Coturnix japonica: one gene and its partner. The protein of the gene in region 2 interacts with the protein of the main gene of each other region in a biochemical or structural test. Links are inferred from orthologs where the notes say so. Each region holds a gene or a part of one and is shown on either strand. Other genes may lie near its edges.

Region 1 (12,724 bases), on a different chromosome or scaffold from region 2:
TTCTTAGTAAAGTATACAAGACTGAATACCAAGGTATGGTCTCCTATTAGCAAAAAGATGCAGACATACCTCCATTTGTATTCCATAATTTAATTCTTGAGAAGTGTATTTTTATTTTGTTAACAACAAATGGTTTTCCTAAGGGTACATCTGCCAAATACAAAAGCAGTGCCTCCTGCACTGGTGGGACCAGCCTGGTGTGTCCCACTGAGAATAATTTACGATGCCATCCCGCTTGTATAATTTAGAGTAGAATCCTGCAGAAGTGTAGATAGAGAAAGCATATTCAAGCTCTAAATGACACTCATGTTTTGAATTCAGGAATAGTTATTGAATAAATGATTCAAGCTCTCTATTTGATTTTTCTTTAGTGTATAGTTAATGGAAAAATGTCTTATTAAAGTCTTAAGTTTTGTAGACGAAGCATAAATGTTATTGTATATGTGCTAATTGTGGCAGAGTTTTACATTCTCATTCTAGTCTGGTTTTTACAATAAAATTAATTTTACAAAAACCACTTTTCTATTTTTATGTACTGACATATGCAATAAATTGATACATTAAAAGTGCTGTTGACATTTTGTTCTGGTTTGTGACCTGTCTTCAGTATGAGTACAGGGTAATTTTGTATGCCTGGTCAGGGTATCATTTTCAGTTACCAACAAAACAAACCAGAGCACATGAAATTGTCATCTATGTTGTTGGGGATGGTATTTATGGCAAGTTATTACAGCTTGGGGGGGGGTGGGGGGGGGGGGTAAGCTAAATTAACTCTCTGTTTCTAATCTTTGTCACATTCTTGCTTTCACAAAGCATCAGTAAGAAAAACTGGTGGTATCCCTCCATGGCTTTCTATCACCTCCTGCCTCTTAGGACTTCTCTTTTTATCTTTAGAACTGAGAGTTGGTCTGAACATGTCACCCGGAAATTATTTTTTCATTGTGTTTCTGGCTGATTTTACCACTAATTTCTGTTAATATTTTAAATGTCAATTTTAAATCTAAATACTGAACCATTGGCTCCTAAGGTCATGAAAGTGCCTGAGCATTAAGTCCCGTGTTGGGTCCTTTTCAGGGTCTTAGTTTTAGACTTTATAGAGTTCTCTTTCTGTAAGTAGATAAAAAAATAAACTGAATATTTTCTGGAAGTGTGCTGAAAACATTAGTGTGATTCATTTGTTATGGTTCCACTTGAGTGGGGACAGAATAACTCTTCTCTGTCTTGAAGAATGGCAGTTTTCCTTTCTCTGAAAATTACACAGAGTAAGAGCGGTCTTGTTTTTAATGCATTACAGAGCTTGGTTTCACTCATAATAGTGTCAAATATATCCATCTTAAGTGATGAGCTGAATAATGCTGTGCTGCAAAGGCACAGTAACTGCATTCGTAGCCCAAGTTCCAGAGAGATGTTGCTGCTAGCTTTGACAAGCAGCTATGAAGCAGATTTTGCTGCATGAAGATGGAAAGAAAGGAAGTTCTACAGCTGTTCTGCATTATGCTTACGTCTGGTGTGGGGTAATTATTTACAAGAAGGCAAAGTAAAAGGTCAGGTTGAATAATGTCCCTTTCAGTCCTTGAGGATTCAGGAACAGTGTAGCAAATAGATGCAGCTATGGAGAAATATCACTACAATTTGAAAATATTTGGATTCCCATCCCATGTCCTCTATTAAAGGTCCACAGACTCCATCAGCAGAAGAGCAGCCATTCCCATGTGAAGGGCCATGGTTCTTTGTTTACTTTGCTGCCATACAGATGCATTTTTTTTTATCCCATCTGTGTAAAATCTGTCAAGTTGCATAGTGTCAAAGAGGTGGAGATAGATTCCTGTGCTGCTGGTTACCCAAACCAGTGAGGCTACGAGACAAGTGAGCTACAGCTGTACAACAGAGCTCCTTTTGCTCCGTGCAGTAAGAAAGAATTACTATAGCGTCAGGGGGGGAGTGGGTGAGGAGGAGTTAAGTTGCTGTAGTATGTAATTGTGTGTGGTTGGTTGGTTTTGCTTTTGAAATTATATATTTGATTTGATTGTATTATTTGTTCTGTTGCATACTTTGAGAGACACCTATAAGAATTGCTTTTCTTTCCTGTGACATTTCCTACCCTCTTTGAAATCACTGTAATAACCATGTAAACAGTAACGATGGTTGCAAATCAGTTGTATATTTGCTTTCTGTAGTGTATGTGCCAGATTTGGATCAAAATTGTATGGATGTGTAGAAAAATAGTCTTAGATGAGGCATAAATCAAGTACGGCACATTTGAAATGTATGGAGATACTTGTATTGTCCTAGGAGGCAAAGACAAAAGAATATTCTTATTTCAGTAAGTTATCTCATGGTTGTGGTTTTTTTTTTTTTTTCTTGTAACCAGTTAATAGATAAGATTTAAAATGTTTGCATACCACATCCTCTACTTGTAATGTATTCAGTAGTTTTCTAAACTTTAATAGAGTGTAAATACTCAGCCACATGTAAATCCTGGCTAATAGCTGAAGGAACTTAGTAAGTGTCCTTGAAAAGAACGTGTTCTGTTTCAGACTGCTCTCTATGGATGATCTTAATGCAGATAACTGTAGCCATCCTACAGGATTAATTCTAACCTTCTCCACAATAGTTTGACCTTTTTCTCCATCATTAGAAAGGACTTGAAACGCATAAGCTTTGCTTATTCTGTGCTCTGTATGCTCAGTGCTGTCTTCCGTAATATGGCAAGTACCGCAGCTGGTCTCTTTTTGCGCTAGCCACAGGGACCAGTTCCATTTTGTGTCTATTTCAGAAGTATATTGGACCTTCGCCACTGGAAATGTACTCTTAATATGATTGTTGATATTGGCTGGGTCTCTATGTTGTATCTGTACAACCTCCCTCTTAAAAACAGAGCATTTGTTTTTAAGTAAATTACATTTCTTCAATGACGTTTTTTCTTTTCTTTTTTTCTTTTTTCTTCAATCCAGGTCTTCTTATTCAAACCATCTGCTTCTCTTTTTAACATTAAACTTCATTATCAGATTTTCCTCCCCCTCAAAGCAGAAGATGCTTTTTGTGGTTAAAGTACAGTGCTGGATTTCAGGAAATCAAGGGTTCAGTTTCTGGTTCAACCACAAATTTCCTGTGTGATTGCTCGCTATCTCTGCTTTGGTTCCCCACAGATGTAGAGATGATGTTTTACACATTTTCAGGTTAGCAGGGCCCATCTTGACCTTTTAATCAGATATCCCGTGTAACGGAAAAGAACGAATCAAGCTGCTTGCAGAAATTACAGAGCTTGTTTCAGCTGTAATATCTCAGAAGTCTAACCAGTCTTCATTTTGTTAAAGATCCCACCCAGCAAAGATCCCCCAGCAAGAAGATCCCCTTCAGTGGTAATGTTTTGGGGTTTTTTAATGCTGTTTTTTTCCCCTCCTTAGTTTAACTTGAGCTCTCACATCTCGTAGTGGGAAGTCCTAACCTGAGCACCCCGCTTTAGTATTACCGTGACTTAAGGAGCTAAAGAAACTGTGCCTCATACTTGCCTTAAAGCAAAGCCAGTAAGCTTAACAGAACCAAGGCACCACCTGCCCCTGAAATCCATGTGCTAGGCCCTGAAGCCAGCATGCTTGTTTGTTTTCTAAACCCAGCTTTCTGAGATGTTGTTTTGATGTCTTTCAAGGTCTAAAATACTGAAGCTTTGCTTTACTGCGATAAGATGTTAAGTTGTACAACTACGTAAATATATAGGTAGTTTGTACTTCTTTTTCCCCCATGACTGATCTCTCGCTGTCATTATTTATTGTTCTTCTACGTTTCTGGCACTGCAAAATTCATCAACAATTGTATTTTCCTTTTAATCACTTAAAAGCTTGTGAAACTGTGGAACAGCCCGCTGTCAAAACCAGACTGACCCCTTTGACACTTGAATAGAAACACCTGTTGAATTAAGAATTTGCCAAGTGTGGCTTGTTCTGATTTTCTTCCTCTCCCCTTTGAAGCTCTCATCTGCCAGAACAATGAGCAAGCCAGAGCCAGACGTCTTACAGAAGACCTCTTTGTCACTGCAATTCTCTTGTCAGCCCAAATAGTGAACCCCTTTAAAGATGTGGGAGTTGGAAACAGCCTTATTTTCTGTACAAGTAACGAGACTGATGCTAATTATATCTATCAGATATTTTCTTGTATGTTAATGACCAAAGAGACCTCACTAGCCACTTTTTCCCCAGTATTCCTGGACAACAAGTTGTGACTTTCATCTTCTCACTTTGTTTCATTTTCTTATATAGTGTGCTTTTTCTGGCTGTCATATTATATTTGGAACACAGTAATAGAATGGTAACATTCTGATGTCCAGTGATACCTCAAGGCACATCTGTTCAGTTCTATTAACCACATATTATGTGCCCAAAACCTACCTTAATACCTATTAAATTTCCTTCAAAATGTAGTCCCATTTATACCTCAGCCTTGAAAACAGATACAGACAGGGTGTATTATGGTATTCTGCTCTCAGTCCACTGTATACCTATTTCTGTATCACTTTTCAAGGTATGTAGGCACCTTTTAGAGGCATGTTAAGATATGTTGTATGCATTTCTTTTTTCCTCTCCTTTTAGGAAAATAATGACTTGTCCATGCAGGATATTGAATAACTGTTAGAGGTGGCAAAGCAAGGAAAAGAGTAACTTGGATTGCAATGGGAGTTGATAAAGCTTTTAATGACACCAGTTTCCCACAGTCTTAAGAAACAGATGTAGGAGAGACTACACAATTTTTTTTTTTTTTGCTTTATTTCTGCTCCTTCTTTCTCCTTCCCAACAGTATCAGCTTGATCTGGACTGTTCTAACAGGTAGCATCAGAAGATGTAACTCACTTGCACAGTATTTGAACAGACCTTTAGAAACTCTCTCTCATGCAGTTAAAGTTTACTTATGTGGCCAAAAATGGTAGTTTTCAGTGGGGGGTGACCTGTTCATTTTAGACCTGATTCTTCTTTCCCCTCTCTTATTCCTTCCTACTTTCTAGTTTTCTCATTTTCCCTTCCCTTTTAGGTCTCTTCTCCCTCGCTCTTTAGGTCCTTGAATTCTCCAGTGGGGTCTCATTTATCTGATAAGTTTGATTATAAGTCATCCCTTCCAAGTGCACTAGGAACCGAACTGCAGACTCTGCCACTTCACAAGTTTGAGAGACCAGTCATTTTTTATTCATACGTGAGAATATTTCTCACCATCGTATTTAGGAAAACACAAAAATTGGTATTTCAATAAGCTGCCACTTCTGCAGGCGTACAGTCACTTCAGATATGTTTACATATATATATATATCATATTACATACATGTATACATATTCTTACAGGCACACATAATGTCATATGCTTGTCTCTTTTAAGCAGAGCTCAGATTTATGTTGCAAGGAAACCTTATGTTGTTTCTGCACTTCTAGATAAGGTTTTAAATACCCATGGTACTGGTCATGCCTAAATTTAAAGATAATGGGAAATGGTGAAAGCAAGTTGCCACAAAAATAAATAGCTGAAAATGAAAGGAGAAAGGCAGACTGAACAAGCAGCTCAACAGAAAGTACTCATTGCCAGAATGCAGCGCAGAAAGGACAAAGCTAAACGGAGACTGCATCAGATGTTCACTCTGTACATTAGGTTTAATGGTTGTATCAACGGCTTCATATGACAGGAAATGATCTGGGCGTTTTGTTCACTTATTCTGGATGCCCTTAGTTTCACAGAGCAACGGGTAACATGGATTGCACCTCGGAAGGGGACAGCTGAACTCTCCCTCTGGCTTTAGTGAGGAAAGAGCAGCGATGAAATCCGTGGACTGTGTGCACGTCATCCAGCAGAAGGATACCGCCTCCTCTCCCTCTGGCCCCCCCGGTGCTGCTTCAGGCACCACGGGACTTTTTTCTGTCACATTCCTGTGGCTTGCAATGCTCCTGTCCTCTTGTCTTGCAGCAGTGTCTCTTTACCACGCTATCACCCTGAAAACAGAGCTAGAAGCTCTGCGCAGTGAGCTGATCTACAGGGTCCGGGCAAGGTCTCCGCTAGAGCAGCCACCCGTGTCCCCTGGCGACAAGAAAGCAGGTGCCCCTGTTTCTTCCTTCCTGCAAGTGTCTGCAGCTGGCGCCAGGCAGGTAAGCGTGCTTGATGGCTGCAGGGGATGAACCTGCAGGAGATGGGCTGCTCACACTGACTGCTGTCTGTCCCTGCTAGGAGAACAGGCTGCCTGGCCCTTACCCAGCTGAAAGTTTCCAAAAGGAAATCTGGGACGGGAGCAGAAATAGGGGGAGAAGGTCTGTTGTCCACACAGAAGAAACAGGTAAATAGCACTGTGCGGAGTGGGATGGGATGCTGCTGCTGGTTGCTTTCTGGAGACAAGCAACAATGCTTAGCTCCTGTCTCTTCTTGTAAGCTGAGTACTGCTCCCAAAGCTTATTATAATTATAGAATTATAAGTAGTAAGTATTAAATGATGCTGTGAACTGCATTTGCTTTGCTGATTACCATACTGCTTAAGGTACCAGATATTCCTGCTGTCTGCAGGTTGAATTGAACATTGGTTCCCTGTCCTTGTGACTAAAGTATTTCTCAGTGATCAGCAGTAGAGTTGTGTATGGCAACTTGAGTTTTTTCATGTTGGAAGTTGCTTGACTCTAAATCCATCATTCTCAGCTCAGGGTAATGCTTATCTTGTTTCTCTCTGGTGAATATTAAAAAAGGAAAGCTATTATTAAAAATTGTCAAGTCATTTTTCTGGGAAAACATATTCATCCTAAAAGAGAGAAGTAGCAACAGAGCTCCTTGACTTTAGGGAAGTAGGAGCTTTCAAAGAGAAAGGCTAGCTTATACCTGTCTGAAAAGGCAGGCTACAAAGAATTCAGAAGATTAGAATTTTCTTTGCATAAAACCATCTATTAATATAATTAGCAAAGCTAAGAAAGGCATGCCTATGCAAAAAGGCTATTGCTGTGGCAAGTTTAAAAGGTACTGTATCAAATATCGAATAGTGTGCTCGATAGAGCACCTCTGACGTGTGTTATAATGTTGATATGTTTAATGGGATACGATTATCTTCTTCAGGAATACAATTCCTACTTTTTTTGTTTGTGGTGTGTTTTTTTGCCTTTCCAAATACACTGATATATGATAAAATGAGATACTGAATTTAAACATAACAGTTTGCATACTCTGATTACACTGAGCATTGGTAAAAATCTTCCTGAGTTGATAAATCAGTTCAGTCTCCTTAGATACTTTTTTGACCGATGGAAGCTGATATCTTGAATTACCATTAAGGTAAAATGAAATGATTTGTAGCTAAAGACTAAATCAGAGTTTGCTTAAAATGTATCTTTGATTAATTAATGTGAAATGCATTTCAGCTAGGATTCAGAGAGCTAACTGAAATTTAAGTTCTATAGCACGATCACTCTATTTACATCTCAGAAGAGAATATTCATTTAGGATGTGACCCAATGGGCTTAAGTGCAATCCATAGGCTTAAGTGCAATTTATTCTTTTCTGTTAGAAATCATTCGTTCAGGGTCTTGGTTAACAGTGATTTCACAAATGAGACTGAAGACAAGACTACTTCAGTCATTTCACCTGAAGCTTGTTTATTGTAGTAGTAGCAGAGCTTCCCTCTGTTCTCCCCCCCATTCTAATGTCTCCCAGATAAAAACAAGTGATCTTTTATACCTAAATCACAACTCCCACCAAACATAAGGATGACTATCTTCTTCTAAATGAACATTACAGACATCAGCACTCTGCAACTTATTCAGTTCCCTTCACAGTAGCTTTCATCTTTATTTTTACTGTATTTGAGAGCGCACGGGGGAGAGGACAGTATTGGGCTCTTCAGCTGTCCTCCTGGCAGGCTTAAAATGCTTCTCCCCAGGCAGCCACCTCTGAATATATCCATATATCTTTCTTCACCTGAACTTCTAATTATGCTTTCAAATTAGTGTATACGGATAACAGCACAGAATATGAATGTTTATTTGAAAGGGAAAACCTGTATAGGCTGATCTACAAAACTGTTTCCTAACACAATTATCCACTTATCTTACTTTGTATACAAACAAAAGGAAAAGAATTATATTACAAATCTTCCACTTACATAGCAGTGGCCATAAGTAATAATTTTAATTAAAATGACAATTGAACAAAAGTAGGTCCAGTGCAGTGCTGTTCTTTCATATTTTTATAGGATAGATGTTAGCCGGTGTTCATATATAAAAGTTATAGCTATCAGTATCTGTACATTTTGTGTTCTGAGAAAATTTCCAGCACAAATATGTTGAAGAAATGGGTTTTGAGCATTAGTTCCAAATAAAGCTACATAATTAGCAGCCAGAACAAGAGTTTTTGATACAACGAGTGGGAGGTACTGGGGAGTTTTATTAATGTGCAGACAGATAGATCACCTAACCACTTCTAGCAGATGTCATATCAGGACAGTTAGGAACAGAGATACTTTTTTGCCTGTCTTTTACTAAATTTTGCCTGTAGAGGAAAGCTGAAACAGAAATCCATCCTGTTATCCTTGTCACAATTACTGATTGTATTGCCAGCATGCTGCTCTCTGAGAAGTTTAAGTTCTTCTGTCCAGGATCAAGATAGAGGTCTCATTACACAAGGCAGTTCAGAGTACAGAGTTTAATTTGCACACCCTCTAGGTGTCTAGCTCTGATCATTACTGCGTGTTCTGATTCCTGTGGTCAGCTAGGACAGTAAGCACCAGGTCTTCTGAAAACTTAAAATCCTAATTTGATCAGATCAGGGCACCTGTGGTTGCTTCCTTCAGGATATTGAGGTTATCCATTTCAAACTGTATGACTGTGTATACGGAAGGAACTGAAGAGAAATCCAAAGTCCACAAAGTAATGAAACAGGACAAGCCCGCATTGTGACTCGGTAATTTTTCACTAGCAGTTCTCAAGTTCTTCTGCCATGTCAGTTGCATTCACACAAAACGACTATAGAGTATAAGTTGTGAGAAGGCATCATCTTTGCCACTGTTCTTGGTACAATTGCCTTATGTCAAACTGGTATATTTCCATCCACAGAGTGGTACATTTTCTACTTAGAACCAGTTTGACTCTGTGTTGTTGTTTTATAGAATCATGGAATCACAGAATGATTTAGGTTGGAAAAGACCTGAAAGCCCACCCAATTCCAACCCCCCTCCTTTGGCAGGGACATCTCCCACCAGTCTGCCCAGGGCTCCATCTGACCTGGCCTTGAAGGCCTCCAGTGACATGACAGGTCTCCATGACAGAGGGATGGCATGAACTTTTACAAGTGGAACTTGATTTCAGAGATCTTTCAGTCAGAAAAGCAAACATTTTTTTGCTAGTTTCAAAAAAAAAACAAAAACAAACAAACACTGCGTGAAATTCCCTCACCAAATACTCAAATTACTTCTTATTTTGCTGTTTGAAGAGGGAAACACAAGGGTTCTCTTTTCATTTTTTAATATGCATATTTTTAAAAGCTTACTTCTTGAAAGATGTTATTCCCTTTAGTTTCTGCTGACAACAGGCCGTCTCTAACAGAAGTACGCCCTTCACTGTGAAAGGATAGAAAATGACTTCACTCACTGCTTGCAGTTTTACTTGAAGGATTCCATCTCCTGAATGAATGAATCAGTGCTATGTATTATGCAGACTACTGTGCAATCTAAAGCACACAGAATACTTTGTACTGCATTTCAGAAATCTACATAAACTGTTCTTAAATGTTAGTAAATTATTCCGTACTACACTGATACTAACACATTACTGGTGATTCCACTGAAGATCAAAATAATGATACCAATACTTCAAAGACCTTTGTTAGACCTGTTACTGGGGCCAAGCAATTTTTATGCAGGGATTAACTGAATCCATGTTTAATGACACAAAAAGACTTATTAATAAAAAAGTAACAAAGAAACTAGTCTATAAACCTGCACAAGCAAAAAGAAAAGGAAGATATCTAATTATAAGAAATAAATAACTTAAGGGAAGAAAAGCTGCACATCATCCAAGAACATGCATATCATTTATAAATTAAATTATCTAGTATTCAAGCAGGTTTCAGGAAGTCTACAGAGAACAGACCATGACCATTGAAGGAACCAAAGCAAGCAGGTCTATTTTTAAAGTTCAGATTATTTATTTATTTATTTGAATTATCAGGCCTCAGATACTGAAGCTTAAAAATTTATGTGCAAGTTTGCATATTAACCAACTTGCCATTTTCTTTGGATGGATTATGAAGTTAGATTGCAAGGTATTAAAAAGGTTATGGAAGTTAAATGATTCAAAAACTTACATGGCAGGAAGGATTTGTCCTTATGGATAATCATGTCTTAAATTATGTAGATATGCAGAAAGCTCAGTTTTTTATCCTTCTACATATGCTAGTTCATTTTTGTTTTTTCCAGAGCTGTGGTTACATTGCTCAGATGGTGGAGAACACAGCCCTTCATATGCTAGGTGTGGTTCATAAGGGCATCTGGAGGCATTAACTTCTTCAGAATTGGTCGTTTTGTTCATGGAAGAAGATTCTGAAATGTTTTACTCCCACCCACACACCGCAGTACAGTTTACATCACAAGAAAAGAATTCTCATCAAAGCAAAACTTCTGTCTGAAATCAAAAGAGGTCAGGGCACGCCGACCTCCTGCTATTCTAGGTACATGTTGTTTTGTACAGTGAGTCCTCCAAGTGATGCTCATTTTAGATATCTTTATGCATTTTTAAGAAGCATTTTACTAATTATGTTTCTGCTTACATTATTCAGTGTCCCCAAATACTTTAGACTACAAAACTTGTGTTCAGGTTTGATCTACACTGAACTGAAGGACTTTGAGGTCAAGCTTTTCATTTACTCAGCTCTGAAGTGATAGTAAATATTCAAGTCATATTTGGTGAAATATGTATTTTTTATATTGTACTTCAGGTAAGATCTGTGTCTTTCACATTTTAACATTTCTTAACAACATCAGTATTTTGACTCAAAATTCCTATTTGCTTTCACCAGAAAATAAACTTGGTATATCCATGTTTTCTGTTTAATAAGTGGTAAATGGGTTTGCTTTGAATTTGTTTCAATGAATCATTTAACTTTAAGCACATGTAACCACTGAGTTCAAAGTGAAGTATTTGTATCTGTGATTGGAAATAGTTATATGTTAGTAGTGGCTTATAAGCGATTGTTTACAAAGCATGTTGCTGTTCAATATAGTTTCAAGGAAATTACACTTCCTTTCTGTGGCTATAGATAAAATGATCACTGTGCTGGTTTCTGTTTTCTTTATTATCACAAATGACATTTCCATACCCATATTTCTTCCTGACAGCTAAATTTACTTTATTCTGTTGAACCTTGAAGACTGTGGATTCTGTATATACTAACTGAAAAGATGCTTTTTTTGCTGGGGGATTATATGTAGATTTGATGCCATAGAATATCCTGAGCAGAAGGAGAGACACAAAGATCATAGACTCCCAGCTCCACACAGGAGCACTCAACATTCAAACCCAGCATCTGAGGGCACTGTTCAAATGCCCCTTGAACTCCAGCACTCAGGGCCATGCCCACAGCCCTGTGCAGCCCATTCCATGCCCACCACCCTCTGTTGGAGACCCATTCCCTGACCCCCAGCTGCCCCTCCCAGCTCCATGAGGTTCCCTCAGGCCCTGTCACTGTCACCAGAGAAGACCATCAGATCTGTGCAGAATAACTTTTAAGTGTTTTAAAATATATGAGTAAGTTCTCACTCTGCACGGAACTTGCTGGTTTCAATTACTGCATGGCAGTTTTCAGGAAAGATGACAAGTATCTCAGTGCTGCAATTAAATAAACACAAATCAAGATTACGAATCTTATTTACTCTCTTGTTTGATTATTGGAAATTCCAGTGGCAGCACTGATGAGTTCCCTTGAAAACAGAAATGAAAATTTTGATCTGGATTGCTGAAATAGTAGGGAACCTGCACATTAGCTTTATTAGGAAGGCACTTTGTTCCAAGGGGGAGTAAATGAATACCTTGTGAAATAAATTGCTTGATGTGCTTTGTTGTGCAATTCCAGAAGATCGTATTTTGTTTTTGTTTGGAAGCTTCTCTTTCAGAACATTTTGTCACAACTGAGATCTAAAAAAATTAATGAAGTCTTTTTGTTGTTGTTGTTGTTGTTGACTTAGTTTCTTTTTCTTGTTAAAAGGCAGGGAATCCCTGGAGGCATTCAAGGCCAGGCTGGATGTGGCTCTGGGCAGCCTGGTCTGGTGGTTGGCAATCCTGCCCACAGCAGGGGGGTTGAAACTAGTTGATCATTATGATCCTTTTCAACCCAGGCAATTCTATGCTTCTGTAAATGTAGGTACCTTTAAATTACTGTTTTGAAAATCCACAGAGTTTTTTGGCATCTTATACAAAGCACTGACTGATTTCCAGGATGGGAGTTTGCAGGATAGTCCTCCTGTTAATGACAGTAGGGCTCAGTCAAGAGTTCTTTGGTTCTTGAGACTTTGAAGCATTTCCACACTTGAATCCCACTGTCTGATGGTGCCAATGCTGTGCTGTTCAGCACCTAGCCCTCCTCTGGTATTTGCTGACAGCATCCTTGAAAGGAGACTTAGGTATACACAGGAGGCTGCTTTCTTCTCCAGTCTGGTCATTCCATGCAGTGCAGTGAGAGGTGGGTGCTGATGGGCACATGGTTTGGCACAGAGGTGCCACTGACAGAT
Region 2 (11,726 bases):
GTCTCGATCCTTATGGGTCCCTTCCAACTCGGGATATTCTGTGATTTGATGATCAGAGGGAATCACTGGGGACTGGGGTGTATCTCAAAAATAAGGTTAACTTAGAAAGTGAAGTCTTTATTTTGGCATTTTCAACCATGGGTTTGCTACAGGAAAGATGAGCCTCTTTAGGTTTTGTTTTAATTATTCATGACGTTTATGTTAATTCCTGCAGGCACAGATGTTCAGCTTGCAATTTTTTAGGCAGATTTTCCTATTTTCCTTTTCTGAACTTCAGCTGGGAAGAAAAAAAAAAAAAAAGGCTCCAGTGATATCCGAATTTTGCTTTGGTCAAATTATTTAATGCTGACTTACACTTTGAGGTCAGCAGAAGAAAGTTTGTCTTTATTGAATAACGAGGGGCTAGTTTTGTGCTGGGATGGGCTATGACTCTGGAGAGAGCTGCCATAAGCAGTGAGAACAGGATCTACAACACAACCACTGCACATCTGGCTCATTGTGAGCTGGTTTGGTCTCTGATCCGTTTTCCTTGGTCTAGATGAGCGCTGATACTGAGTAGGCCTGCACTGTGCAAGGGAAGCTTCATGGGACTGGACACAGAACAGTATTAATTGGAAAGTCCACAAATTGCTTTGAAGCATTTCAACTGAGTTTTGTGGTGAGCCCATCAGTGTCTGTTGTACAAAATGAGCACAGAGATCAGTGTGCTGCCTGCTAGCATGCCTGCCCGAGGGCTGGATTCTGTTCTGTAGCAGTACATGTACAGTAATTAAGGACAGGAAGAATTCTGTCCTGCTAAAACACCAGATTTGAGTACAGATTGAGACATACGTGAGTCATGTTTGGTTGGGACACGTGAGTTTTCACCCACATGCCTGGCTCTTTCTGTTTGTCAGATAAACGGCAGACGGTTTGTGGTATTCTAATGTCTGATGCTCTGGTTATGGGATTCTAAAGGAACAATTGTATCATGAAGCATCTCGGTTATATGTTGTGCTGTGATGTGTTAGATGGGTGAGCATCAACACTGTCCCATCTTCCAGAGCTTCTAGGTTCTAAGTAGGTGCACAGCACGAGGGTCTGACTGATGGACAAATGTTCCCTTTCCTGAGTCCCTGGTGGGATTGTCTCAGCTGCCTTCCCTCCTCCTCCTGTGGGGAGTTGGCATATCCCTGGAATTGCTTCGATTTGAAAAGAATAACATGAATAGCTCTCATTTTTAACAGTTGCATCCATGGAAATGGTGATCTGCTATGATTTGTAGCTCAAAGCTGAAACTGTACCTCTGCTTTCTTGCAGATATTTGCTGTTCTATCACAAACAGTTCCTGGAGTATGAATAGCCTTATCCAGCAGCTTGTCAGATATAAACAAGGAAGAAAATAAGCAAGCCTTCTGAATCGACACACAAACCTACCTGAAATAAAAAGACCCATTAAAAAACAACTAGCACTGAGCTGTAACAGGACCTACTTGACACTGGCTCCAAGCCTGGCAGAGTGAGAAATGAACAATGTCCAACGTGTATGCGGTCCCGCAAGGACAGAAAGGGGAAAAAAGGAGGCTGCAGTCAGTCACTTATCAGAGGAAATACACAATGAAAGGAATGCTCTGGGTGGGGGAAATGGGAGCAGAGGAGTCCGGGCACTGGTACATCTCCTATGTTCCTCCAAAACGTGTGTGGGAAGGCAAGGGGGTGTATTCTCATCTCCATAAAGCATCTTCTCCATTGGTGCTTCAGCTCCAACGACCAATCATATAACAGTTAAAATTTAAAAAAAAAAAAAAAAAATTAAAAAAAAATAAAATAAAATCCAAGCCCATTTTTTTATGCATCTGGATCTGAAAGCAGTAGAGTGGAGGAGGAGGGAATGACACAACTAAAGGACTTGGCGAGTATCTTTTTATTTGTGAATTTTAGTTATTAAATAAATACAGTATGAAACTATTAGGCTCTTTTATTGCCCCCCCCCTTCCACCAACAAAAGAAATCCTGACTTGTGGAACTGAAGCTGCAGTACAGACAGGTTTCCAGGCACGCCTGCGTGCACAGGTAACGCTCAATGCCACCGGGCTGCTCACCCAGAGCATCAGCACAGATCCGGTCCTGGTTGAGCCCTTTTTGTTTTCTTTTCTTTTCTATAAATAGCTATTTTCTTAATATTTTTTTTCCTTTTATTCCCTTTTTTTTTTTTGTTGTTGTTGTTGTTGTTGTTTTTTCATGAGAATGAACTTCATAACTGCAACCATCAGTAAAAATGACTGAATTGCCGTGTTGATACTGTTCTTTTTAATGTTGTGGATGCTTGAATTTCACCAGATCTCTTGTTTTTGTTGCTGGGTTTGATTGATACATTTTTGGTTCTGTTGGGTTTGGTTTTTTTCCCCCTCCCCGTTGCTTTCCAAAGGCGTTTATCTGTGTGATGCTTGAAAGAACCTCCCTATTGACAAATGTACCATCTGTTGGAAGCGGTTGCTGCTGGGGGGCAGCAGTGAGCGATGGATGTGCTGCTATTGAGCACTTCTGCAGTGCACTGACTGGGTTTTTAAGTAAACAACACGTTTTGCTGGTATTTGCTAGGCTGGTATTGGTTCCTTGTGCCCTCCCACATGTGTTAACTCCTCGCGTGCTCTTCTCTTTGCAGTCTGTGCCCTTGGCTCACAGCAGCTGGTGCACCAGCTTTTGCTTTGTCACAAATACGGTTTTGTTCCCTTTTCTCTCCCCGTTCAGCGGGGCTCGTTTGCCTTCCTGGATAGCAGCAGTGACTGCTGCTGTGCTCTGTCTTGCTCCCTGGAGGCCGGGCTGCGGTTTGAATTGCAGCCCGTGAGAGAAGCCATTCTGAACAGAGTTTAAAGGAGCAAAACCAGCATTGCTCTCTTTTCCTTACAGAGCCCAGACAGAACTGTTCTGAGGGTTATGTGCTGCTTATGTTGGTGTAAGTGCCCCACCAAAACAGCCCTGAGCCCTGTGCGTGTATCCAAGCAGCCCATGCTTGACTGAAGCGCAGTGGTTATAAACGTTGGATGTGTTTCATCTTTTAGATCTGGCGCTCCAGAAATGGCTGTGGGTGCCTGACCTGCATGTGAGGGCTGCAAGGGGCGGGCTGCAGAGCAGCACTGGAGGATATCGGATGAGAATCAGTGAAGCCCACTTTGTTTTATCAATGAGCATCTGGCAGAGAAGCTACACAACAGGATGGTGGAACTGCATCCGAACTGCGCACAGACAGCACGAGCTGCTTCGGTTCTGCTGCGGCAGCTTGCAGGAGGGAAGGGAGAAGCAGCCGCTGATTGAAGCTCCGTGAATAGCAGCACAGCATCAGCGTGGGAGGCACCGCGGCACTGATCGCTACGGCAGCGATGGCGTGTGCTGGTTTCGTAACCCGGCTCTCTCCGATCGTCATGCTCGAAATAACGTCGGGTTGTAATCGGGTGCTGCAAGATGTAACCAGTGAAAAATGGCTGGAGAAATGCAGATTGAATGGTGCAACACCCTCCTTCCCTCCTTCCCTCCCTCCCTGAGCTGGGCACAGCGCCGTGCAGATGCTCGGTGACGCTTTCTGCCGCCTTTTAATAATGCAGCGATCTTGCAGAGGGAGCCGAGGAGCAGCCCTTCATTATTCCCATGGCTGCAGCCGCATCCCCGCCTGCTCCCGCTGCCGGAGGAGCAGTGCCACCGCGCGGCTGTGCATCACCGCTGCTCAGTCTGTTGTGCTGGGGCTCAAGGGGCATCTCTCCTTTCCCCTTTAGAACCAGACTGCGCAGGGAGGGACAAGGCCAGCTATTGAAATCAGCCTGGTTTCCATCGCCCCCACTCCCCTCTCCCCCCACCTCTCAGCTGCTGAAAGCCCTGCACCAGCACAGGTGGCTTTCAGTGGGAGATGTGGAGTGAGAGAGGTTTCAGGGCTCTGTTTTGGTTTCAGAATAGCAGCTCTGTGTTAAATGCTCTTCCCTCTCCCCCAGTCCCTCCTTGCATTGTGCCCTCCTGCTTCCAGCAGTAAATCAGCACAGGTTGCTGGGGAAGCAGTGTTCAAAATGGAAGAACAGCCGCTGCTGTACAAGCAGCACAACCCATCCTTATGGCTCTCCTGAACAGCCTTTGCCTCAAATACTGGGATGCTTTCTCATTGCTCAGCTACTAGAGGGGCAGCTCTTCGTGCTGGTGGTACCTAATGAAACCCAGAGCAAAAGCAGCGATGTGAGGAGCTCCTTCAACCCCCACGTTATGCTCTGGCTCAGAGTCTGTGCCTGCAATTCCCACTTGGTGCCAGTGTTTGACTGCTGGCCCCACTTCACAGTGCCCATGGAGGGATGCTGCCAATGTGATGGCGATCCATTGATTTCTCCCAGTTCTCCAGCATCCAACTGCTCTGTGTAGGAACCTCTGTATGTTCTTACTGTGGATTTGACCAAGTTTCTCCCTGTTACCTTTGCTGATAACTCTATTTATATTTCCAGGTGGGGAGGCCACGTCTGATGGTGAGGAATGTTCCCCTCCAGCTTATCAGGGCTGGAAGGAAGGACCTGGCTGTGGGTGTGTGCGTTGCCTGTTTTCTGGGGCACAGATGGCTCAGTTTGAGCAGAAAAGGCTGAAGGACTGGGAGGGGGAGGTGGTAACCAGGGAAGAATTGAGGATGGTTAAGAGTAGAGGCAGAGCTGAGGCTGAGCGAGAGCAGAGGCTGCAGGGCTTGCTGGGAGGCTGAGGTGGGTTTGGGGCTGTAAATGCAGCACCACACAGAGCTCATCCCACCCTCAAAGAGGAGACTGAGAAGCACCGTGTTGGTTCCCAGAGATGGCCTCAAAGCTTTGCCCTGCTCACCAGCCATGAGATAAAGCACGGGATGTCACTGCACCTCCAGCCTCCTGCTGCTCCTTACAGCTCTGAGGGGCTCCCCATGGCCCTGGTGCTGTGTGTGTGCAGTGCTCAGCCCGGTGCTGCCTGCCTTGGTGGTGGGACAGCAGGAAAGCAATGCATGGCAGGGTGGGGAAGGACTGCATCTGAAGGACTGCATCTGCTCGTGGTTCCTCCAGCAGTTTATTTTCCTATCCCCAATTCACACATCTGATGACACTCCCATGTATTATTTCAAGTCTTGAGCTCTGGTCTGAGAAACAAACTCAAGGCCTTGAATCTCCTCTTGGGAGTGATTCCACGCCAAGCAGAAGCCCTGCACTCTCCATTAGTGAGAACTTAAAGTTCCACGCACTGAACCCCCAGTTTTTCCATAGCAGCTTTCAAGCATCATCATTCCCGGCTCTGTCAGCAGCACAGCAGAACTCAAAGTGTTTCAGAGGCTTCTCAGCCCGGGATGGTTTTGCACAGCAGAGCCCCATTGCAGCAGTGATGCCGGTGCCCAGCACAGTTCCCCTGCTCCTGTGTGTGAAGCTGCATCAGTTCCCTCTGCAGAGGCCAAGCGATGCTGATGGAGGAGCTGTGATGAGGAGCCCCTGTGGGATGTCAGCCCCAACCAGCAGCGCACACGGAGGTGCCTGCAGAGGTTGAGCAGGAGGATGGAGCCGCTGCTAACGGAGAGTTTGGGTGAGTGGAAAAGAACAGTCTGTGCCTGCAGCCCTCGAGCAGAGGCTGTGCTCAGCCCATCCATCCTGGGTGCTGGAGGCAGAGGGTGATCAGCTGTGCTTGGGGAGCAGCCCTCCTTTGCAGCCCGGTGCAGGAGCTCCCGCAGTCACACCGTGGGCGTCTTCTCTTGTGAAGGGGAGCAGATGATTTTGAAGTGGCCATCGTTGTTACTGGGGATCGCCCCCGCGCTGCCCATGCTGCATATCCCAGCGTGAGGGGCAGCAGCTCGTTCCCCTGCGTGGCAGGATGGGCTGTGGCACGGTTTGCTCTCCTGCACAGCGGAGCCGTGGCCGGGGAAGCAGAAGCCGCAGGTTTCCACCGGCTCTGGGGCTTTGCTGCCCGTGGATCCTTCACCGACACTGCCAGCTTCCACCAGGTGATCTGCAGAGACGAGAAACACAGCGCAGGGCTGCACCACAGCCTGCAAGGAGGCAGTGCTGGAATGCACTGTGTAATTACATGCGCTGCTGCTGTGCTTGAAACGCATCACCCACATGTGTCCTGCTGCCCCAAGGGCAGAGGGGTAAATGGGAAGGAGCCTCGAGCAGGGGAGCTGCAGGTGTAGGACTAAAGCAGCTGTAACACTGATAACGTTACACGTGGGTTGTTTTTGCCCTAAGTGCTCCTGTTGCGCCATGTGCTGATGCAGCAGTGCTGTACAACACACAGGGGCTGCTGGCTCGGGGGCCACACAGCGCTGCATGGACTGGCAAAGGGCTCTGCTCTGTTCATCTGAGCTCTGACAATCAAGGTTGAGCGCAGGGTATTGAAAAGCAGGCGGTAAATCCCTTTTCACCTCTCGGCTGCCCTTAAAAGCAAAGGCTGAATGCCACAACATCCTCGAGGTCCTGCTCCTTCCCAGGCCGTGTGACCCATTGCTGGGTCTGTTCCCTCCCTAGGAAGGCTCTGCTTTCAGGTGACAGCCACCCCCCGCTGCCCATCCCTCCCATTGCCCCCTTCACTCACCCTTGGCAGGGTCCTCCCGGCAGTGGCAGGTCCCGGTGCTGGCCTGGCAGGAGCCCACCTCCCCCTTCCTCCGCAAGTGTGTCCAGCCCAGCACCAGGGAGCAGACGAGGGCGCAGAGGCAGAGCCCCAGCAGCAGGTACACCACCAGCCACGGCTCCTGCTCCACACAAACCTTCTGCTCCAGTGCAGCCGCGGGAGGTGATGCTGAAACCAGGGCGGCTGGTGGGGAGTGACTGGAGAGCAGAGATCCTGCAGGGCAGGCAGAGAGCAGAGGGCAGACGGGCACAGAGCGGAGGGCATCAACATAAACTCACACCTCTCCCACCCCTCATCCCCCATCTTACCTCCACACGCGGCATCGCATTGCTTGGGGTGCTGCCCACACACTGTGCTGCAGTTGATGCACTTCTTCACCAGCTCGTCATAGTAGAAGCCAGCTCTCCTGTTACAGACCGCAGACTCTGCAGGAAGGGAAGGAGAGGAGCAGAGCTCGCTCTGAGCACATCCATGGCCCACTGGGGAGGGATGGGGTCACACATGTGGGTCTGTAGGCAGAGTTTGGGGGCGTTGTGCCTCCAGCTCTGGAGTTGGCTGTTGGTCACCCTGCTGGCCACGAAGACACTCAGCTCTTTGCAGGGCCCTTCCCAGCAGCTCAGCCCCAACCTGTACCAATGTGTGCAGTTATCCCTCCCCAGCTTACAGGGCTCCACACTCGCCCTTGTTGAACCTCATGGGGTTCCACTCTTCCCAGCTCTCCAACACATGATGACACGAACAACTCCGTGCTGCACTGCACCCAGCTGCTGCCACAGCCCCACTGCTGTGTTTCCCTGCGCTTTGGGGTTGCATTTTGGTGCCCCACTCACCGCACAGCGCCTTGCACCTCCGCTCGGCCGAGCTCCTGCACATGAGGGTGCAGGGGATGCAGAGGCAGAGGAGGCTGTCCCAGTACTGCTGGTTGGTGCAGTTGTTCATGGCGGCTCTTCCCAGGCACGTCCCATCCATGGCTTTGGGAGGGGAGGGAACCGTGTGTGGGGTTGGTGCGCCCAACGCTGGGACCTGTGCAGGGGGACACGCGCAGCGCCATCAGTACCAGCAGCTGGATCTGTTTGTAAGTCTAGAACCTTCTGAATTCCTCTGCGGCCCCCGGGGCTGCTCCTACCGCCCTGTGTCATTTCTGACATCTCACTTTGGTGTGTCAGCATCATATCGAAACCCGCTTCTGATGTGTCTCATTTTCCTAAGCAGCAGAAGGAGCTGCGTCCCTCGGGGCAGCTCTCAGCAGCACATGGGGGGCCCCGAGAGTGGGAGCTCTTCTGCTGTTCCCTGCTCTGTGGCTGAGCTCAGGGCTGGGGTGAGCAAAGGGGTGTGATGCTGATGGGGGGCTTTGGTGGGAGCCCTGAGCAGCCCCGGACAGCTGATATTTAAAGGATGCTGTCGCTGTAAGGGTTTCATTCTTAGCAGCCGTTTGCTGATGTGGGTGCCCGCATCCCAGTGCGGAGCCGCAGCTGTTTCCTGTGGGTCGGCTGCCCAGGATATGGGGAGCTGAAATGTTTGAGGCACTGACACGTGGCGCTGAAATCCGTGCAGTACCTCGGCTGGGGCTGCTGCCTTCATGGAGACACGGTTTGACTTCAGTACAGAAATGGCCCCATGCTCCGGGAGAGGTCTGTGTCTCTGCAGTGCGATACAGCCCCTGTAGTCCCAGTTGTTCCATTCACATTGCTATGAACCTAATTGCTTTCTATGGAGCCGGCTGACAGCAATGCCTGCAGCACAGCCTGGCTCAGGCCTGCTCTCTCCTCTAATGCACTTTAAGGACTTTTTACCCCCCAGGAGCTGGATGGAGGTGAGCTGAGCGCTGTCCTGCAAAGCCAGGCCATGCATCCCCTGCACCCACCCAAAGCCCAGCACCCAGCCTCCATCCACAGCATCACGTACCCACTCCAGCAGCACCAACCATCCCCACAGCCCCACGGTGCTCTCCGCTCCCTTCCAGCCCCTGCAGATGCAGCCCCCAGCCCCGCAGCCCCGTACCCCGAGCAGCCCCACACAGTAACTCACACTCAGCTCTCCTGCAGTGCTTATTGTCTCCTGGCTGCTGCCATCGTGCTGCCAGCTCCAGCCCCGTGTGCTACTCTGCAGGTTTATAATTAGAGGTCGATTTGATTAATGCCTGGGCCATGTGTTTCCTGGGGCTTCCCCTTATCCCTTCGATGCAAATTGGCCACTCACACAGCGCAGTGTATTGGCTCCTTGATCTGCAGGGGGCTCAGGGATGGGAGGGAGGCACCGTCACCAGGCACACGATGGAGATGTCTTGGTGCTCGCAGCAGGGAGAGGTCCCATGGGCCGTGCAGCTCTGTGTCCCTGGCATCGCCCATCTCCATGGGAGCTCTTCCATCCAAGGGAATGGCACAGAGATGTGTCAGGGGAGGGCTGGGTGGGGGATAAAGGGGGGAGCTCTGTGCCAGAGGTTGGTGGGCATAGAGCAGCTCCCATGGCAGTGGGCTCAGCCCCACACTGCTGGAGCTCAGGAGGCATCAGGGCACTGCCCTCAGACGTCAGGTCTGGGTTTGAGTGGTGCTGCGTGGAGGAGGGGTTGAACTCCACAATCCATATGGGTCCCCTCTGACTCGGGATGTTCTGTGATTCTAAAGTTCTTCTGCTGAGCAAAACGAGCACCCTGAGCTGGTCCAGCTGGCACCGTGTTGTTGCTTTCCCAGGTTTTGCAGAGGAAAGGAGCAGCGATGGGAGCAGGAAGGATGGCACAGCGGGGAGGAGCGATGCCCACACCCGGGGGTATCCCCACACTCCATTAGGTCTCTTTAGAGTAAGCAAACCAGGCTGGACAGCCGCTCTTTCCCCCTCTTTCTATTGGTGGAGTGTTGATTTGTGTCAGTCTCTCCCAGCACTGCAGCACACAGCGGTGACTCAGCTCAGCCCGGGGGATGGTTCCGCAGAAGCAGCTGGAGGGGGAGGAAGGAGCAATACCTGCTACTTTCCATAAACATCAGTGGGGCAGCAACAAGGGTTTTCCGTTCAGCACAGAAACTCCTGCCCTGTGTGAGTGGGGCCGTGAGCTGGTGGGGCTGGTGTTGGTGGGATGGAGCTCATTGCTCATGGCAGAGAACGTACAGGGGATGGCTCTGCTGGGAGCATCTCATGTCAGGACGGGCTCAGCCCATGAGCTCGGTGCTCCACGGGCTGCCCGCCTGCAGGGCTGGTGGTAGAGGAAAAAGCAATGTTGGCATTGTGAGTGTGACGGAGCCAACATGGAGCTGCAGCTCTGCAGCTCTTGGGAATTTGTGGGGGAAACCTGCCTCTGCAAATAGCAGTGGGACTCTTGCAGTTTCCACTCTGTGAGCCCTCAAGAGGGAAGTGAGAAGCACTTGGGGGTGCTTTGTCCCTCCTCAGTGAGCAGAGGGAGGCCCTGTGAGCTCAGCTTCAAAATCCTCAGCTCATGCTATGACTGGGACCTTGTTCCCTGCTCGGGTACCTCTGAGCAGCGCTGTGGCCTCTGAGGTGGCACATGGTGCTGCCAAACAGCGGTACCCAGAGCTGGGCTTTCCTGGGCAGTTTTGCTGCTTCCTGCATTCCCTGTGCTCACTCAGGGCTGGACCTTGACCGAGGCATTTCTTGCACACGTGCACCCCGTGAGATCCAAAAAAAGGCTGGGGGGGGGGAGAAGGGGGAGACAAGAAGGCGAAGAGGAGACGATTGGGATCGAAACCGAGCAGAGCGCACAGATGGTGCCGAGCTCTTTTCTTTCAGCCCGGTTCCCTGCAGACACGATGCTGCGGGACCACAACAGCCCACAGCCGAGCTCCTTCTGCCGAGCTCCTGCAGCTCCGCACCGCCACCCGCAGCCCGGAGCCCTGGGGGGGACGTGAGGGAGCGGCAGCGCGGAGTGATGCGCTGCACCGGGAGGTGGCAGCCGCGATTCGCTTAGTTCCGCTCTGCGGCTCCCGCAGCCCCGCAGCCCATACCCATACCCATACCCATACCCATACCCATACCCATACCATACCCATACCCGTACCCGTACCCGTACCCGTACCCATACCCATACCCGTACCATACCCATACCCATACCCGTACCCGTACCCGTACCCATAGCCATAGCCATAGCCATAGCCATAGCCATAGCCATACCCATACACATACCCGTACCCGTACCCATACACATACCCATACCCATACCCATACCATTACCATACCATACCATACCCATACATACCCAACTACCCATACCCATTACCTACCCCATACCCCCCCCCATTAAAAAAGACCCCCCCCCATACCCATACCATACCCATACCCATACCCATACCATACCGATACCCATACCCGTACCCATACCCATACCCATACCCATACCATACCCATACCCGTATCCGTACCCGTACCCGTACCCATACCCATACCCATATCCATACCCATACCCATATCCACACCCATACCCATACCCATACCATACCCATACCCATACCCATACCCATACCATACCCATACCATACCCATACCATACCCATACCATACCCATACCCATACCATACCCATACCCATACCCATACCCATACCCATACCATACCTATACCCATACCCGTACCCATACCCATACCCAAGTGGGAGGTTCCGCAGCCCACGTGCAGCTCGTTTTGCAGCACGGCCTCGTTCTGCTGCCGTCGAGTGGCAGCCAAAGGATGCTTGGAGCCCACCCGTGTCTCCGTGCTGCAGGGTCTGACCCAGCAGCTGTGCTGGGCAAAGGTGCCTCGCTAAAACCCGGAGCAGAAGAGCCATGATAGCGAAAATTGGGCTGGCTTTCCAAACCTGGCTCCCTCTGGGGTAAGGGTGCCCTGTACTATTGCTGCCACAGCAGCACCATGATGCATATCAGAACCAAAGCACCACCAGCATTTTCATGAGCAAATCCCCACCATTGCCCTGTCCCACAGCCAGCATTGAGGGCCCCATCCTGACAGCCCCAACAAAGAGCCGTTCCCCACACCAGGCTGAGGGTGTTGCTGGAGGAGGGCTGCCCCTTGCAGGAGCAGGCTTGCAGGATGTCAAGTTAATGCAGTTAATTTTTAATGCTGAAAAACCCTGGGGAAATTCCATGGGGCTGGAGGGAGGCCAGAGGGAACCGAATGGGTAAAGGGGATAAAAGGGCCCACCCTGGG

The links.
Region 1: the proteins of TNFRSF13B (region 2) and TNFSF13B form a complex in vitro, tested with the Homo sapiens proteins (3 studies listed by BioGRID and IntAct, with this or other methods). The link is inferred for Coturnix japonica from reciprocal best matches to the Homo sapiens genes TNFRSF13B and TNFSF13B.

The regions. Positions count from the first base shown.
Region 1 is NC_029516.1:126,179,132-126,191,855, reverse strand, and holds the start of TNFSF13B (tumor necrosis factor ligand superfamily member 13B), read left to right. Parts: upstream 1-5,441; 5' UTR 5,442-5,792; coding exon 5,793-6,119; intron 6,120-6,198; coding exon 6,199-6,304; intron 6,305-9,489; exon of another isoform or gene 9,490-10,616; intron 10,617-12,724. UniProt on the Homo sapiens protein: Cytokine that binds to TNFRSF13B/TACI and TNFRSF17/BCMA. TNFSF13/APRIL binds to the same 2 receptors. Together, they form a 2 ligands -2 receptors pathway involved in the stimulation of B- and T-cell function and the regulation of humoral immunity.
Region 2 is NC_029529.1:4,679,724-4,691,449, forward strand, and holds TNFRSF13B (tumor necrosis factor receptor superfamily member 13B), read right to left. Parts: upstream 10,482-11,726; 5' UTR 8,608-10,481; intron 7,603-8,607; 5' UTR 7,549-7,602; coding exon 7,410-7,548; intron 7,005-7,409; coding exon 6,888-7,004; intron 6,793-6,887; coding exon 6,544-6,792; intron 5,959-6,543; coding exon 5,684-5,958; 3' UTR 5,015-5,683; downstream 1-5,014. Other genes in the region: USP22 (ubiquitin carboxyl-terminal hydrolase 22), read left to right, coding at 1,300-1,342. UniProt on the Homo sapiens protein: Receptor for TNFSF13/APRIL and TNFSF13B/TALL1/BAFF/BLYS that binds both ligands with similar high affinity. Mediates calcineurin-dependent activation of NF-AT, as well as activation of NF-kappa-B and AP-1.